Linked DNA regions of Oryctolagus cuniculus. The protein of the gene in region 3 interacts with the protein of the main gene of each other region in a biochemical or structural test. Links are inferred from orthologs where the notes say so. Each region holds a gene or a part of one and is shown on either strand. Other genes may lie near its edges.

Region 1 (5,497 bases), on a different chromosome or scaffold from region 3:
TTCTGGCGCGGACCCGTCCTGAGCTGGATCCAGCACCCCCCCCCCCCCGCCGTGTGCGGCAGGGCCGAGCCCCCACACCGGGAGCCCCAAGTCACCACTGTGTCCTTGCTGTGCCCACCGCCCTCGGTGCCCTGGGCCCGTGTCCCGCCTGGGGTTGATGGGAGCTGGGGGACCCCCACCCGTCCTTTGTGAAAAAAAGCCAAAGCCGCGGCAGCAAAGCAGGCCCCGCCCAGGCATGCGGTCAGCGAGGCCTCTGTCCCCACAGTCGCCATCCAGTGCCTGGAGACGGCTTTCGGGGTCACGGTGGACGACAGCGACCTGGCGCTGCCCCAGACCCTGCCGGAAATCTTTGAAGCGGCCGCCACCGGCAAGGTGAGCCCGGGGCCACCCGGCCCCCATTCCCCAGCCTCAGAACAGCGGCAGGGGGCGCGGTGGGCTCTCCCTGGGCAGGAGAGGGGCGGGGGAGGGTGTGCGCCCTGACCTGGTCCGGGCAGCAGGGGGCGCCGTGGGCTCTCCCTGGGCGGGGAGGGTGTGCGCCCTGACCTCAGCCGGGCAGCAGGGGGCGCTGTGGCTCTCCCTGGGCGGGGAGGGTGTGCGCCCTGACCTGGTCCGGGCAGCAGGGGGCGCCGTGGGCTCTCCCTGGGCGGGGAGGGTGTGCGCCCTGACCTCAGCCGGGCAGCAGGGGGCGCCGTGGCTCTCCCTGGGCGGGGAGGGTGTGCGCCCTGACCTCTGCCGGGCAGCAGGGGGCGCCGTGGGCTCTCCCTGGGCGGGGAGGGTGTGCGCCCTGACCTCTGCCGGGCAGCAGGGGGCGCCGTGGGCTCTCCCTGGGCGGGGAGGGTGTGCGCCCTGACCTCTGCCGGGCAGCAGGGGGCGCCGTGGGCTCTCCCTGGGCGGGGAGGGTGTGCGCCCTGACCTCTGCCGGGCAGCAGGGGGCGCCGTGGGCTCTCCCTGGGCGGGGAGAGTGTGCGCCCTGACCTCGGCCGGGCAGCAGGGGGCGCTGTGGCTCTCCCTGGGCGGGGAGGGTGTGCACCCTGACCTCGGCCGGGCAGCAGGGGCGCGGTGGGCTCCCCTGGCCGGGGAGGGTCTGAGCCCTGACCTTGGCCGCAGCAGGAGACGCAGCCCGAGCCGAGGAGCCCCGAGCGGACCCCGCCCTCGGAGGAGGACTACGCGGAGGCAGAGCGCCTCAAAACCGAAGGTGGGCGGGGACGAGGGGAGGGGGCGGGGTTAGCCCAGGTGTGGAGACGCGGAGCCCCCGGCTGCCCGGATCCCCGGGCCCACCGCAGTGCTGCCCCGTGCCAAGGTCACCGCAGCTGTGGCAGCCTTGGCGGGGCAGCGGCCCCAGCGTCTGTCCGCACGTGGGGGAGCGTGGTCGCCGCGCAGCCAGGAGCGAGCGAGGCTCCGACGCTCCCTGCGTGCAGGGCCCCGCGGACGTCGCGCCGGGGGCAGTGGGCAGGGCCTGGGGGGAGCTGAGCGTCCGGAGGCGCTGTGCCCCGGGCGGGTGGGCGCCCCCAGGGCCGCGAGCTGTGCCGCGGGGCAGCGGGCCTGTCTCCCTCGTCCCCAGGGAACGAGCAGATGAAGGGGGAGAACTACGAAGCCGCCGTGCACTTCTACGGCAAAGCCATCGAGCTGAACCCGGCCAACGCCGTCTACTTCTGCAACAGGTGCGCGCGGGGGGCGTCGGGGCCGCTAGGGGTCGGTGGTCCAGCTGCGCACAGGACGCCGAGCCGGGGAGGGGTCAGAGCGCGGAGGGGTCAGAGTGGGGAGGGGTCAGAGCGGGGAGGAGTCAGAGCGGGGAGGGGTCAGAGCGGGGAGGGGGTCGGGGGGGAGGGGTCAGAACGGGGAGGGGTCAGAGTGGGGAGGGTGTCAGAGCGGGGAGGGGGTCGGGGGGGAGGGGTCAGAACGGGGAGGGGGTCGGGGGGAGGGGTCAGGCCGGGCAGGTGCTCCAGAGCCGGGCAGCGTCCCGTGTGCACCGAGCCCCCCCTCGGCCTGGGCGGGGTCACGTGCACCCCACGGACCGACCCGGTGCCTGGAAAGCTCCCGACTGAAGCGTTTGGGTCACGCGTGTGACACTGCGAGTGTCCGGCCCAGCGGTTCAGACGGAGGGCCTGGCCCGGCTCCCTGCTCCGGAGGGCCCAGTGCTCGGGTCCCTGCTGCCCACGGGAGCCCCGGGAGCGCCCCCCACCCCGCTGCAGCTCGGCCGTGTTCTCTGGTCTCGGGGCGTGTCCGCGCTCTCGCCGGGGCAGCCGGGCCGGCTGTGCCCCCGCACTCTGAGCGTTTGTGTGGTTCGGGGCTCCTTGGAGAGGCCCCGCACCCACGGTCGCCATGGGTGGGGGCCCCCTCGTGACCCTCGTCTCTGGCTGGGCCCGTCCCACGCATCGAGCCACCTCTGTGACGTGGGCGGGTTCCACACGGCCCAGCCTCGGTTCTGGCGTCCCCGGTTCTGGGCGGCGTCCCCGAGAGGGTCAGGGCCAGCTCCGCTTCTCTCTGCAAGTTTATTTCATGTATCTGAAAGGCAGAGTCACAGGGAGGTGGCCGCAGCGGCCAGGGCTGGGCCAGGCTGAAGCCAGGAGTCCATCCGGGTCTCCCACGCGGGTGCAGGGGCCACCTTCCGCTGCTTCCCCCGGCCACAGCAGAGCCGGATGGGAAGTGGAGCAGCCGGATTCGAACCAGTGCCCACGGGGGGTGCTGGTGTCACTGTGCGGGCTCCTCTGTGCTTTCTGGATGGGAGTGCGGGGGTGGGACTAGAACCCGGTCACGGACGGCAGCCAGGCCCCCCCACGGCTGTGCGCGGTGCACTCCCGCTGCAGCCCCCTCGGCGGGGTGAGCGCACGGGGTCCCCGGGACCACACGGGGCGTGGCAAGCTGGGGCTGCCGCCTAACGGACCCCGCACGGTCGTGACAGCTGGGAGGTGGCTGAGCAGGGTCCTGCTGCTGGCCTCCCCGGCCCTCGAGCGTCTGCCCGCTGGACTTGTGGCTCCATGGCCGGCCCCTGGGACAGCCTCGCCACGGCCCGCTTTCCAGATGGGGCGCTGAGGCTGCGCCCCGACCGCCCCTGCCTGTCCCCCCCAGAGCCGCAGCCTACAGCAAGCTGGGCAACTACGCGGGCGCCGTGCAGGACTGCGAGCGCGCCATCGGCATAGACCCGTCCTACAGCAAAGCCTACGGCCGCATGGGGTGAGTGCCCCCCGGGACCTCCCCTCGCTCCTTTCCCAAGCGAGCTGGGCAGTGCCAGGGCTCCTCACAAATGCCAGAGAACCGGCTCCTCCCAGGGAAGTCCTAGGAGCTGGGAGCCCACGCACCACGTGGTCACGGCAGGCTCCGCCCCGCGCACCTGCCGCCGGCCGCCGGAGGGGCAGCTCGGGGTTGCTGGGCGCCGGAGCTGAGGGCGTGGGGGGACAGAGGGTCCTCCTGGGCCCTCCCACACGCTCCCCTCCCGCCCCCTCGCCCCAGCCTGGCGCTGTCCAGCTTGAACAAGCACGCGGAGGCCGTGGCCTACTACAAGAAGGCCTTGGAGCTGGACCCCGACAACGAGACCTACAAGTCCAACCTCAAGATCGCGGAGCTGAAGCTGCGGGAGGCCCCGAGCCCGGCGAGTGGGGCGGGGCGGGGGTGGGGCCTGGCCGGCGGGGCGGGGCGGGGTGGGGCCCAGTGAGGGGCGGGGGCAGGGGCGGGGCCCGGCGAGTCGGGCAGCCGGGGGTGGGGGCTGCCCACACGCACGGGCTGCAGGGCCCGGCAGGCAGGTGACCCTGGAGTCCCGCATCACCAGAGGCCGGAGGCAGGGCTCGCGGCCGCTCAGGTCCGGCCCTGCAGTGACCCTGGGGCGCCGCGCTGCCGTCACCGGCAGTGCCGCCTGCCCTGGTGCTGGACAGGAGAGGGGCCGTGGGGGGTAGGCCCCGGGCTGCACACTGAAGCCTCCGTGGGGAGGAGCCGGCTGCCGGGCCGACCCCGGAGGCAGAACGTGAGACCCGGGGGCCTGCATCCCCCGCGGCCGTGGCCCTGTGCTGACCCCCGAGGGCCGCACTGACTGACCGGCGCTCTCTGGCCCGCAGAGCGGCGGCGTGGGCAGCTTCGACATCGCCGGCCTGCTGAGCAACCCCGGCTTCATCAGCATGGTAACGAGCCCCCCGGCCCGCCCGTCTCACTGGCGCTCCTCGGCACAGGCCCGCGGGGGACCCCCAGGGCCGACCCCCAGGGGCTGGAGCAGGGGCCTCGGCGTGGGAGGGACGGCCGTCCCCAGGATCCCCGGGGGCGGCGCTGCGCCCCGCACACCCACGTTCCTCCCGCTGGGCTCCCGCTGGGCCTCGCAGCTGTGGGACGTGGGGGCCAAGCAGCCACTTCGGCCTGGCCCCGAGAGCCTCGGCCTGGAGCCTGCTCTTGCGTGGGCCGTCACAGGCGGGGCTTGGGCTCAGAGGCCCCGCACTGACCTTCCGGGAGCCCCTGGGCCACCGGGGCGGGGGCAGGGTCTCCTGTCGGGGGCGGGGCGGGGGCCGGAAGTCCCGCCCTGACTCCCGGTGCTTCCTCCAGGCGTCGAACCTGATGAACAACCCCCAGCTTCAGCAGCTGTAAGTGACGGCGCCGCCCCCGTGGGCACCGCTCCCCCCCTCCAGGACATCCCTGCAGCCCAGAGAGCCCCTCCTGCCGCTGCACCTGCGCCCGCGGGTCCCACGCGTGTGGCCGGGGCCCCGTGTCTCCCGGGCTGACGTCCTCCGTCCCACGCGTGTGGCCGGGGCCCCGTGTCTCCCGGGCTGACGGCCTCGGGTCCCTCCAGGCCACAGCGAGCAGCAGAGCCTCGGCCTGCTCCCCGTGGGGGGGTCTCTCCTCTGGCCGCGTGCTGCTCCCCGTGAGGGGGGTCCCCTTCTTTGGCCGCGTGCTGCTCCCCGTGGGGGGTCTCCCTTCCTCTGGCGTGCACTGCTCCCCGTGGGGGGGTCTCCCCCGCGTGCTGCCGGACACCGTGGGCTTCCGTGCTGGGCTTCCTGTCCTGTCTGGGCCGCGGATTTGTGTTCGGGAGATTGTGTGTCCGCTGGTTCACCACCCACGTGGCCACGACGGCCAGGGCTCCATCTGGTGTCCCGCGCGGGTGCAGGGGCCCAGCACTTGGGACACAGCAGAGCTGGCCGGAAGTAGAGCAGCCGGGACGCGAACCGGCGCCACGTGGGATGCTGGTGGGGCAGGCGGCGGCTAACCCGCTACGCCAAGGTCACTGCTGTCTACGTTTGGGTCTGGACGGGACCTTCTGGGCGCTGCAGGGCATGAGCCCCGCCCCTGACGTCCCCCCAGTTCCGCGCCAGGAGCGCCCCCAGTCCTGACGGCCGCAGGCGACCGCAGACACGACCCAGGGCGCCTGGGGCAGCAGTGGCCCCCGCTGAGACTCCTGGGAAACCAGGCTCCCGAGGGGGGGGCGGGGCGCGGTGGGGGGGCGGGGCCGCGGCGAGTCACGCTCCCCCCCCCCCAGCATGTCCGGGATGATCTCCGGCGGCCACAACCCCCTGGGCACGCC
Region 2 (5,376 bases), on a different chromosome or scaffold from region 3:
GTACATCCTTCTTTGATGGCCCCTTCTTTCCACTGGGGTCTCACTCACAGAGATCCTTCATGTAGGACATTTTTTTCCACAGTGTCTTGGTGTTCCATGCCTGAAGCTCTCTTAAAGCCTCTTCCCAGGCTTGGGTGAAGGCAAAAAGAGGTGAAAGTGGGTGACAGCGAATGTCACACACCAGGAGCTCTAAGTAAAGTCGCCTGCCTCTCGGCCGCTCCCCACAAAGCCCGATGAAGCCAGAGTGGGTAGTAAGCTGACCTGCCCCTGGGGGTGTGAGCGGCACAGCTGATTGGGCACCTGCTTAAGGGTGTGGAGCATCTAGGTGGTGTTGTCTCCCTCAGGGCTTTAGCCAAAACCAATAAAGCATCCTATTTTAAAGTCTTATTATGCAAGGAAACATGTGTTCTGTTTTTTAAAAAGATCCTTAGTATTTACCCTTTTTACCTGTTTTCAGAGACCAGTTGTGCAGTAGGGGCTGGCGTCATGGCAGAGTGGGTGAAGCTACCACATGCAGTGCCGGCGTCCCACGTGGGCACTTGTTCATGTCCCAGCTGCTCCGCTCCCAGTCCAGCTTCTTGCTTAACGGCCTAAGGAAAGAAGATGGCCCATGTGCTTGGGCCCCTGCCACCCACATAGGAGACCCAAATGGAGTTCTTGGCTCTTGGGTTTGACCTGGCCCAGCTGCAGCCATTGTGGCAGTCTGGGGAAAGAATCGGCAGTTGCTAGGTCTCACTGTCTCTCCCCTCTCTCTCTGTATCTCTAACTTTTAAATAAATAAGTCTAAAAACAAGCAAACAAACCAACAGCTTGTTTACATTTTTGAGCCAGCGCAGGCATTTGGCACAGCAGTTAATACACCTCTTGGGGGGCCGGCGTTGTAGCACTGTGGGATACCTGCATCCCATGTCAGAGTACCTGGGTTTGAGTCCTGGCTCCACTTTAATTCCAGCTTCCTGCACCCTGGTGGGCAGCAGGTGACAGCTCAGGTACTTGGGCCCCTGGCACCCAAGGGGGAGACCGGATTGAGTTCTGGGTTCCTGGCATTAGCCTGGCCAAGGCCCAGCTGTTGCAAATATTTGGGGAGTGAACCAGTAGATGGAGAATTTGTCTCTTTTCGTCTCTCTGCCTTTCAAATAAGTAAAAATAGAGAAAATTTTTAATGTGCTAATGTCCAGCCATATAAAAAATTTTTTTAGCATTTAGTAGAATTGAAAGAAAATTCCCAGAATGCAAAGCCGCAGTTAGTTTGGTTTTACCAAGAATACGTTCAGTTTGGAGATGCTGATGTGTTTCAGACTGGTCCTGAGTTACTTCCTGCACTAACACGGAAGGTCTCACGGGGTCGGGCTCTGCTAGGAGTGATCCCTGGGGCACGTACGGCAACCTGTCCCCCAGGAGCGCCGTGTGCTCAGGGTGTTCTGCCAGGTAGAGGGGGCCTGTGCCCACAGCTGCTTCTGGTTTCTCCCGTGTCCAGGCGGAACGCATGCCACTGGACCTCAGTCCCCGCCTGGAGGAGCCCGTGGACTTCAGCGAGTTGGAAGCAGAGCCCGGCGAGGTGGAGGACTTTGAGGCGCGGGGCAGCCGCTTCTCCAAGTCTGCTGACGAGAGACAGCGCATGCTGCTACAGCGCAAGGACGACCTCCTGCAGCAGGCTCGGAAGTGAGTGGCTTCCCCAGCCCCGGTGGGCATACATCCAGGTCTGAGACCTGTGGCGGGGTCATCAGCGTGTTAGGCCCACTTCCACTTTAACTAAAGATGCGACATCAGGCAACCGTTACATGGCGCTTAAAAACTCAGGCTTCAAGCCTCCCTCGGGAGGAGTCCGGCCCCGCTGAGCCCGACTGGTAACTTGTGGTGGGCTTCGGTGCCCCTGTGGGCATCTTCAGACGCACTCGCACGGACAGCGCTTGCGTGCCAGCGGGTCCTTTCATGAATAACTCTTCAAACGACTCTAAGGGGGAGCATTGTTAGAATCATTTGACAGACTTACAGCTGAAGAAGCTGAGGCTTAGAGAGGTTCACGCTGGCCTGGGCCTGACGGCTGGCTCCGGGGTCCTCCCTCTTGACCACTCTGCCTTGTAGCTAACATAGAGGTGAGCACAGAGCGCACATCTGGGGCCACACCTGCCCTGTGGCTGCGGCTGGAGCCGTGGGTGTCGAGGTTTATGTCAGTGGCTGGGTTTTGTGGCCTGAGCGTGGGGACTTGGGTGGGGTGGGCAGGGAGAGGGGAGAGGGGCGCGGAGCGGTCACTTGTCCCGCCCGCCCCAGTGCAGGGAACTCAGGCTCCACTCAGGGTCAGGGTCCGCGTCTTTTTCATGAAGTTGCCCGGGAGACGGGGAGCTGCGCGTGCTCCAGAGCGTCTCATCCCTCCGCAGGCGTTTCTTGAACAAAAGCTCCGAAGAGGACGCGGCCGCCGAGAGCTTGCTCCCGCCCGCGGGCCCGTCCCCCGACCCCGTGGCGCTGCGGCGGCGGATGCTGGCGGCCGCCGCCGAGCGCAGACTGCAGAAGCAGCAGACGTCCTAGCGCCGCCGCCCCTCCTCGGCCGCCGCCGCCGCCTGAGCCCCGCGCCCTGCGCCCAGCCGGAAGAGGCTGCCCAGTGCTGCTGCCGTGTGACGCCGCGGGCCCGACTCGTTGCCGCTGTACAGAGCATGTGGTCTTCTAGTGTGTGGACGGCTGACAGATTTAATTCTTCTCTGTAATACTTTCTATGTGATATTCTCTTCCCCTTAAAAGCACTGCACATTTTCACTGTAGGCGTTGACTTGTTGGGGTGGGGAGCGATCAGGAGGAAGTGGGCAGGCGCCCGCCAGCGGCAGATACTGCGTCCTTAGCGCCACATCTGGCAGGAGGCTGTGTGCTCTGGGAGGGCGCATCGCCAGCAGCGAGCAGAGGCACCGCCGAGCCTGGCTCCGCACCGCCGCCACCGCCGCCACCTGCTGTCACACCTGAGGAGGCAGAGGAGGTGTCAGAGGCCAGACTAGGGGGCTCCCGGACCCTCGGGGCCAGCAGGGCATCTTGGGAAAGGCCGTGGTCTGCTGCCCGGAGCAGAGGAGGGGCAAGCTTGGGGCTGCAGAGTGTGAGAAGGCGACGCCCTTCCCTCCCGCCACATCGGGACTGTGTGAGCCCCAGGTCACGGCTGGCTTTATTTCCGTTAACTCTGGTGCTCCTGCAGGTCCTGAGTGTACCCGTGTCCCCCGTCCCCTCCGCGTTCCCTGGCCCTGTGGACACGGGGAAGGGGGTGGCAGCCAGCTTTGGTTTATGGTTTTAACCCCTCGGTCAGGCCCATCGGGCAGTGCCAAAGCCTGTGGGTTTGGTCTTCGGAAAAGAGGTGGGCCGAGCCAGGTGGGGGAGTGGGGAGTGCACTGGGCAGGGCTTTAGGGAAGAACTGAGAGATAGATACCTTGTGTGTATCCCCGGCCGTGGCTGTCCGCCAGACCTAGGAAGCTAACAGGTTGAATCCACATGCCTTGGAGCAGACCCAGGTCCTGAGTCTTCAAATTCCTCACGCAGTTAACTTTTGGGATTTGAAACACGCAATCATAGGTTACATAGTTCAGTTTTATGTCCCATTGGATTAATTTTTTTTAATGTTTGAAACATAGTTTTATGGTAGTCCTTTTGGGAAGAATCCCAGTATTATCTAAAATTATTGGCAAAGTTAAATGTATTTTACATAACTGGAAGTTTTTAGAATGTTGACAAGTAATTGAAAAAAGGGTGGTAGACAAATATTTAGGCAGAAGTAATTTATTTCAATAAATCTTTGAAAAGCCTTACTTTGAAATGCTGTTAGTAAACCTCTGTGATTTTTAAAATTTGTTTTGTTTTGCTGAGAGCATAGCTATTTGTTTTCATTGTAAAACAATAATAATAATAAAAAGCAAACTTTTAGTGTGTTGTGTATCGCTGGGAGTTGAGGCAGCTGCTTTCAGGGGGGTGGACATTAACTCTGATTTTGTGGGGACCATTTTGGCTGGGGGGGTTTTGCTTTCTCCAGTATGTTGGAGAAGGCAGACAGGATTTTTCTTCTCCTCATACTAGTATTTCATTTAAAAAAAATTTATTTATTTGAGAGGCAGAGTTACAGGGAGAGACAGGTCTTCCATCTGCTGGTTTACTCCCCAAATGGCCACGGGCTGGGCTAGGTCAAAGCTGGAGCCAGCACTAGGCTAATCCTCTGCCTTGTGGCACCGGCACACCAGGTTCTAGTCCCGGTCGGGGTGCCGGATTCTGTCCCGGTTGCCCCTCTTCCAGGCCAGCTCTCTGCTGTGGCCAGGGAGTGCAGTGGAGGATGGCCCAAGTGCTTGGGCCCTGCACCCCATGGGAGACCAGGAGAAGCACCTGGCTCCTGCCTTTGGATCAGCGCGGTGCGCCGGCCGCGGTGGCCATTGGAGGGTGAACCAACAGCAAAGGAAGACCTTTCTCTCTGTCTGTCTCTCTCACTGTCCACTCTGCCTGTCAAAAAAAAAAAAAAAAAAAAGGCTGGAGCCAGGAGCTTCCTCCGGGTCTCCCACACGAGTGTGGGGGCTGAAACATTTGGGCCATCTTCCACTGCTTTCCCAGGCCATAGCAGAGAGCTGAATCAGAAGTGGAGCAGCTGGGACTCGAACCAGTGCCCATGTGGGATGCCGGCACTGCAGGAGTAGGCTTTGCCCACCACACCACAGCGCCGGCCCCACATTTATTTATTTATTTTCAAGGTAAGTATGGAGGAGGCGGCTACTTTGCTTTCTCCGAGTCTGTTTTACTTTGCAGGTTGCATACCCATTAGAGATGACACTAACTCCAGTTTCTCAGGTTTATGAAGTGGAAAGAGGAAATTGATAGAGGGCCTGGGATCACTGGACTATCACAGCGTGGCAGTGACCAGAGCAGGGAGAATGCTTTACTTAGCCTACAGTGACCGACAAGCCCCAAGTTCACCCCTAAATTGTGCATCTAGACAGTTAAAGATTCTAGCTGCTACCACCGGCCCCTGGCTTTTGTCATTTGGAGGCCCCTGGGATAGGTGCTGAGGGCAGAGAGTGGGTGGGCTTCCCGGCCCAGTCCCCCTTGGCCATCTCCGCTGCTGCAAGGGTGGGCAGCTTGCTTTTGTGCCCGATGTTGCCATGGAACACAGGCTGTACCGCTGGGCCGTGGCACGTGGGCTTTCTGTGCCCTTGCCCTGCCTGGCCGTGGGAGCGGCTGTTACTCCCTCTGACCTCTTGGGTTCTCAGCCACTTGCTTGAGTTTTGTGTTTTTAACAAATGTGGAGGCTTTTATGGGTCAGGGAGAATGATGGCCCACGTGGATGGCTTACTTGGTGTGTTCAGGCAGGCTCTTGGAGCTGTAGACTGCTCTCACTGCAGCCCGCAGACCATCTGCCCGGGAAAG
Region 3 (5,497 bases):
TCCCCAGCCAGCCACCAGTCACCCGAGGGTCATCCGAATTTCCCACCAGAGCGTGGAACCCGTAGTCATGATGCACATGAACATTCAAGGTGAGTTAGAGTCGGTCGCTGGCAGAGAAGAGCAGCATGGTGAAGGAGGTAGGCTTGGCGCTGAGGTATGAGGTGCGAGGCTGGGGAAGGGAGAGGCTGCTGCTGGCAGCGCTGGCAGAGGAGCCAGAGCAGCAGCTTTAAGCGTCGTGTGTGGGGCGGGGCAGGATGGGTGCTGTGTCCTTGGTGATTTGTTGGTGTGGTGAAGGGAGCACCTGCTCCCTGTCTTGATGGAGAGAAAGGCAGGTGTTCCGGCTGGGGAAGTGGGAGCCTGCAGGACAGCTGATCTCAGGAGGATGCCGTTAGGGCTTGGCCCCGCCTGTCTCAGGGCCACTCTCTCTGTCTCCCTGCCCAGATTCTGGCACACAGACCGGTGGTGTTCCGAGTGCTCCCACTGGCCCCCTAGGACCCCCTGGTCATGGCCAGACCCTGGGTAAGAGTGAGGGCATCAGAGCAGGTTGAGCTCTGGGTAGAGAAGGGGTAGGGCTGAATGGGTGGGTTAAAGGGGTCCAGGTTCAAGGTTACATCAGACCCGCCCCCCAGGCTCCACCCTCATCCAGCTGCCCTCCCTGCCCCCTGAGTTCATGCACGCCGTCGCCCACCAGATCACTCATCAGGCCATGGTGGCAGCTGTTGCCTCCGCGGCAGCAGGTAATGACCTGGAAGGGGAGGCCTGGGAGGTGGGGCATAGTCCATGGTGGCGGGTGCTGTCAGCTAGTGGCCAAGGGCCCAGCCCTCAGCTCTCTCCGGTCTCTCTCTTCTGCCCCCCACAGGACAGCAGGTCCCAGGCTTCCCAACAGCTCCAACCCGGGTGGTGATTGCCCGGCCAACTCCTCCACAGGCTCGGCCTTCCCATCCTGGGGGGCCTCCAGTCTCCGGGGCTCTGGTGAGCAAGGGTAGGGGAGTTGTTCCAGTGGGGAAAAGTTAGGGGAAAGAACCCCAAACTGGTATGTGGGAAAGGTAGGGATAAAAATCTCCCCACTTCTCTCCCCAGCAGGGTGCTGGACTGGGTACCAACGCCTCATTGGCCCAGATGGTGAGCGGCCTTGTGGGGCAGCTTCTCATGCAGCCTGTGCTTGTGGGTGAGTCCTCGCTCTTCCACACCCCACACTTCAGAGATCGCCATGATTCCAAAGCCCGACACTGTCCGTGTGAACTGCTGTTTTCCATTTCTTCTCATGTTCTCTTGGTTCTCACTGTCCTGTTAACACCTAATGAGGGTGCTGTGATGTCTGAATTTTCTTCAGATTTCGTTTTGCCTTTGATTCCTTACAGCTCAGGGGACCCCAGGAATGGCTCCACCTCCAGCTCCTGCCACTGCTTCAGCCAGTGCTGGCACCACCAACACAGCTACCACAGCTGGCCCTGCCCCCGGGGGGCCTGCCCAGCCTCCACCCCCTCAGCCTCCTGCAGCTGATCTGCAGTTCTCTCAGCTTCTGGGGAATTTGCTGGGGCCTGCAGGGCCAGGATCTGGAGGGCCTGGCGTGGCTTCTCCCACCATCACCGTGGCAATGCCCGGCGTCCCTGCCTTTCTCCAGGGCATGAGTGACTTCTTGCAGGTGAGTGGCTGGCTTGCCTTTCTCCTCACCCGTCCCGTGCCCCAGCCTAGCCAGGCAGTGGGGCTGTGTTGCCATTAGGTAGCTGTTGGGCCATTGCCTGCAATTTTGTGGCCAGAGAAGGGAGCCGGGACTTTATTGACTGAACTGCTCCCATTTTGGAGATGAGGGAAATAAGGCTTTAGAGAAGAGAGAGAGACGCTGTAGTGGCTAGTGTCCTGCTCTCTGGTCTAAACCATACAGTGAGAGAGGAGTTGCTTAGGCCAGCTCTGCTGTGGACTCCCTTGCCACGAGTGTTCTTTCCTAAGGAGTAAGGTTTAGAATACGGCCCCCTGTCTCCCCAGACCGTGTCGGTGTCTGTCCTTACTCTCAGGTCTCACTTCATCATCTTTATTCTCTCTTTCCCAGGCAACACAGGCGGCCCCTCCACCCCCTCCACCACCTCCACCCCCACCCCCTGCCCCAGAGCAGCAGAGCACGGCCCCACCAGGGTCCCCTTCTGGTGGCACAGGGAGTCCTGGAGGCCTGAGTCCTGAGAGCCTTTCCCCGGAGTTCTTCACCTCCGTGGTACAAGGCGTGCTGAGCTCTCTGCTCGGCTCTTTGGGAGCTCGCGCTGGCAGCAGTGAAAGTATTGCCGCCTTCATCCAGCGCCTCAGTGGCTCCAGCAACATCTTTGAGCCTGGGGCTGATGGAGCCCTCGGTGAGCAACGACGGGAGCCTTGGTCTTCTCTAGGAGGGGATAGCCAGGGAAGGGACAGCCGGGGGTAGGTAGATGGCTTTTGTTTAGGGAGGTTGCCAAGATGGGATGAGGCCGATGGGCTGGCTGGGGGTAAAGGCCTTTGCTAACTTTCGCCCCTGTCCGCAGGATTCTTTGGGGCTCTCCTCTCTCTTCTGTGCCAGAATTTCTCCATGGTGGACGTGGTAATGCTTCTCCATGGGCATTTCCAGCCACTGCAGCGGCTCCAGCCCCAGCTGCGATCCTTCTTCCACCAGCACTACCTGGGTGGCCAGGAGCCCACACCTGGTAACATCCGGGTAAATGAAGGCCCGGAGCCTTAGAAGCCTCCCACTTCCCCCTTCAGTACCTTGTTTCTGACCCTGTTCATGTATCAGCTTACGCCGTTGACTGCGCCAGCCCTAGACATGGACCTGTGGAGGGGGGAGGGGTAGAGAAGGAAGTCTCCTGAGACTGAGGCTTGGGCCTGACCTCTGCTGTTCTCCCCGTAGATGGCGACACACACATTGATCACAGGGCTAGAGGAATACGTGCGGGAGAGTTTTGTGAGTGACCCTTCTGTATTGCCTTCCTCTCCTTGGGTCTGGTCCAGACAGCTGATGTCCGTAGTGCCTTCTCCACTTCCGATCTTTCAGGGTTCCTGATCTGGGGTCTTTGTCTTGTCCCGCAGTCTTTGGTGCAGGTTCAGCCTGGTGTGGACATCATCCGGACAAACCTGGAATTTCTTCAAGAGCAATTTAATAGCATTGCTGCTCATGTGCTGCACTGCACAGGTCAGGGCCTGGCCAGGCAGGGGCTGGCTAGGTGTGGGTGCATGGTATGTAGCGGGTGTGCAGAGCTGCCAGGTGCCAGCATTCTCTCCTTATATCTTGCCTGCAGACAGTGGATTTGGGGCCCGGCTGCTGGAGTTGTGTAACCAAGGCCTGTTTGAGTGCCTGGCCCTGAACCTGCACTGCTTGGGGGGACAGCAGATGGAGCTGGCTGCTGTCATCAATGGCCGAATTGTAAGCACCATCCCACCCCAGCTCCCCAGCCATTTGTTTCTTGAGGTCTCCTTGCTCCTCATTTTTCTTCTCCCAAGTACTATCCTGTACCCTAGATCTGATGTATTTTAAAAGCCGGCTGAGGGTTTTGTCTTCCCAGTCTGTTTTCTGCCCCTCAGCGCCGCATGTCACGTGGAGTGAATCCGTCACTGGTGAGCTGGCTGACGACCATGATGGGCCTGCGGCTTCAGGTGGTGCTGGAGCACATGCCCGTGGGCCCCGATGCCATCCTCAGATACGTCCGCAGGGTTGGTGATCCCCCTCAGGTAAGGGACACGGCGGGCTCTGGGACCAGGGCGCCTGAGGGGGCCGGCGGGGTCTAAGAGGGCCTGTCGGTGTTCTCCAACCTCACAGCCACTGCCTGAGGAGCCCATGGAAGTTCAAGGAGCAGAAAGAACGTCCCCAGAGCCTCAGGTAACAGGGAGGGGTGGAGAGGCCAGATGATGGGAACTGGGGGGCTGAGAGGGCAGGGCTGGGTCTCAGTTCTGAAACCTGCCTCCTCCCACCGTCTGACTGCCAGCGGGAGAATGCCTCCCCTGCTCCTGGAACTACAGCAGAAGAGGCCATGTCCCGAGGTCCGCCCCCTGCCCCTGAGGGGGGCTCCCAGGATGAACAGGATGGAGCCTCAGCCGAGACAGAACCCTGGGCCGCTGCTGTGCCCCCAGTAAGTGCTGAGAGGTGATCCAGGGAGCTGAGGCCACTGGGAGTTGTGGGAGTTACTACTTTTGGATGTTTCCTTTCCCAGGAATGGGTTCCTATCATCCAGCAGGACATTCAGAGCCAGCGGAAGGTGAAGCCGCAGCCCCCCCTGAGCGACGCCTACCTCAGTGGTATGCCTGCCAAGAGACGCAAGGTCGGTTTACCTCTTCCCTGAGGATCTTTGTCCAAGTTCCCCTCTCATGTTTAAAATCAAACTAGAGTTGGAAGGGGCTCTTCTAGTTCGGGAAACCTTTGGGACTCATTTTCTTGCTCATAGTTGTTGCATAAAACCACACAGGACTTGGCCTTAGTTTGCTGGTAGTCTTGTCTTGGTCTCTAATTGTACTGTGTGACTAGTGCCCACTTTTCTTTAAGATGGCTTCCTTTTGCGGCCTAACTAGTTCTAAACTCCAGATGGCTTGACCCATTCTGCCCCTTTTGTTTTGAAGAGCAAGTTCAGCACATTCAAACCCTTTAACCAGAGCCCAACATAATTGGGCATTTGTGTTGTCCAGACCGCATGTGTGCTGCTTCCCTTCTCTCTGCTAGTGTGCAGACTCAGTGGTTGACTCCTGGAAGGGTGTGCTGGGTGGCGGCACTGGATCTGACGGTGATCCTCTTTTCCCTCCCAACTCCCTGTCCACCAGACGATGCAGGGTGAGGGCCCCCAGCTGCTTCTCTCAGAAGCTGTGAGCCGGGCAGCTAAGGCAGCCGGAGCTCGGCCCCTGACGAGCCCCGAGAGCCTGAGCCGGGACCTGGAGGCACCAGAGGTTCAGGAGAGCTACAGGCAGCAGGTGCCCCCACCTCGAAGCAGAATAGGGATGGTCCCGTGGGAGGGGTTGGGATAGGGCCCCTCTCCCCCTGGCCCCCTTTAGACAACTGGTCAAAAGCATTCCCCCCACCCGACCCGTGGCATCTGAGAACGCTCAGCAATGCCACATTGGACAGTGTATGTGTTGGGATGGGGGTGGGGGGCTGCTGGGGGGGAAGCGTTCACTCCTGAGGGATGGCCTCCTCTGCTTGTTGGGATCAGAGGAGCCTTGACAAGTGCTTCTCCAACCTACTTGTTTCTCTCTCTAGCTCCGGTCTGACATACAAAAACGGCTTCAGGAAGACCCCAACTACAGCCCCCAGCGCTTCCCTAATGCCCATCGGGCCTTTGCCGATGATCCCTAGCTCTTTGCTCTGTGGCCCTTCCTTACCAGGGGACCATCTCCCCCCTCTTCCTTCACAGTATTTAAGAAATAAAAGTCGGATTTTCCTGGCTCTCTTGTCTTTAAATTGTCTTCATTAAGCACTTTTTGAGTCCCTCAATTGAATATTCTCATTTCCCTGGGTAGGCATTTGACAGAGGCTAACTCCACTTGGACTGCCTGC

Evidence for each region.
Region 1: the proteins of BAG6 (region 3) and SGTA form a complex in vitro, tested with the Homo sapiens proteins (4 studies listed by BioGRID, with this or other methods). The link is inferred for Oryctolagus cuniculus from reciprocal best matches to the Homo sapiens genes BAG6 and SGTA.
Region 2: the proteins of BAG6 (region 3) and AMFR form a complex in vitro, tested with the Homo sapiens proteins (2 studies listed by BioGRID, with this or other methods). The link is inferred for Oryctolagus cuniculus from reciprocal best matches to the Homo sapiens genes BAG6 and AMFR.

The regions. Positions count from the first base shown.
Region 1 is NC_091447.1:59,198,814-59,204,310, reverse strand, and holds part of SGTA (small glutamine-rich tetratricopeptide repeat-containing protein alpha), read left to right. Parts: intron 1-265; coding exon 266-372; intron 373-1,107; coding exon 1,108-1,195; intron 1,196-1,561; coding exon 1,562-1,661; intron 1,662-3,069; coding exon 3,070-3,174; intron 3,175-3,450; coding exon 3,451-3,589; intron 3,590-4,049; coding exon 4,050-4,112; intron 4,113-4,524; coding exon 4,525-4,562; intron 4,563-5,452; coding exon 5,453-5,497. UniProt on the Homo sapiens protein: Co-chaperone that binds misfolded and hydrophobic patches-containing client proteins in the cytosol. Mediates their targeting to the endoplasmic reticulum but also regulates their sorting to the proteasome when targeting fails.
Region 2 is NC_091449.1:40,135,928-40,141,303, reverse strand, and holds the end of AMFR (E3 ubiquitin-protein ligase AMFR), read left to right. Parts: intron 1-1,477; coding exon 1,478-1,662; intron 1,663-2,378; coding exon 2,379-2,526; 3' UTR 2,527-3,894; downstream 3,895-5,376. UniProt on the Homo sapiens protein: E3 ubiquitin-protein ligase that mediates the polyubiquitination of lysine and cysteine residues on target proteins, such as CD3D, CYP3A4, CFTR, INSIG1, SOAT2/ACAT2 and APOB for proteasomal degradation.
Region 3 is NC_091436.1:138,969,358-138,974,854, forward strand, and holds the end of BAG6 (large proline-rich protein BAG6), read left to right. Parts: coding exon 1-89; intron 90-441; coding exon 442-519; intron 520-629; coding exon 630-737; intron 738-859; coding exon 860-972; intron 973-1,080; coding exon 1,081-1,168; intron 1,169-1,361; coding exon 1,362-1,645; intron 1,646-2,050; coding exon 2,051-2,342; intron 2,343-2,507; coding exon 2,508-2,677; intron 2,678-2,869; coding exon 2,870-2,923; intron 2,924-3,048; coding exon 3,049-3,151; intron 3,152-3,257; coding exon 3,258-3,382; intron 3,383-3,540; coding exon 3,541-3,687; intron 3,688-3,775; coding exon 3,776-3,835; intron 3,836-3,941; coding exon 3,942-4,085; intron 4,086-4,166; coding exon 4,167-4,274; intron 4,275-4,767; coding exon 4,768-4,914; intron 4,915-5,200; coding exon 5,201-5,296; 3' UTR 5,297-5,386; downstream 5,387-5,497. UniProt on the Homo sapiens protein: ATP-independent molecular chaperone preventing the aggregation of misfolded and hydrophobic patches-containing proteins.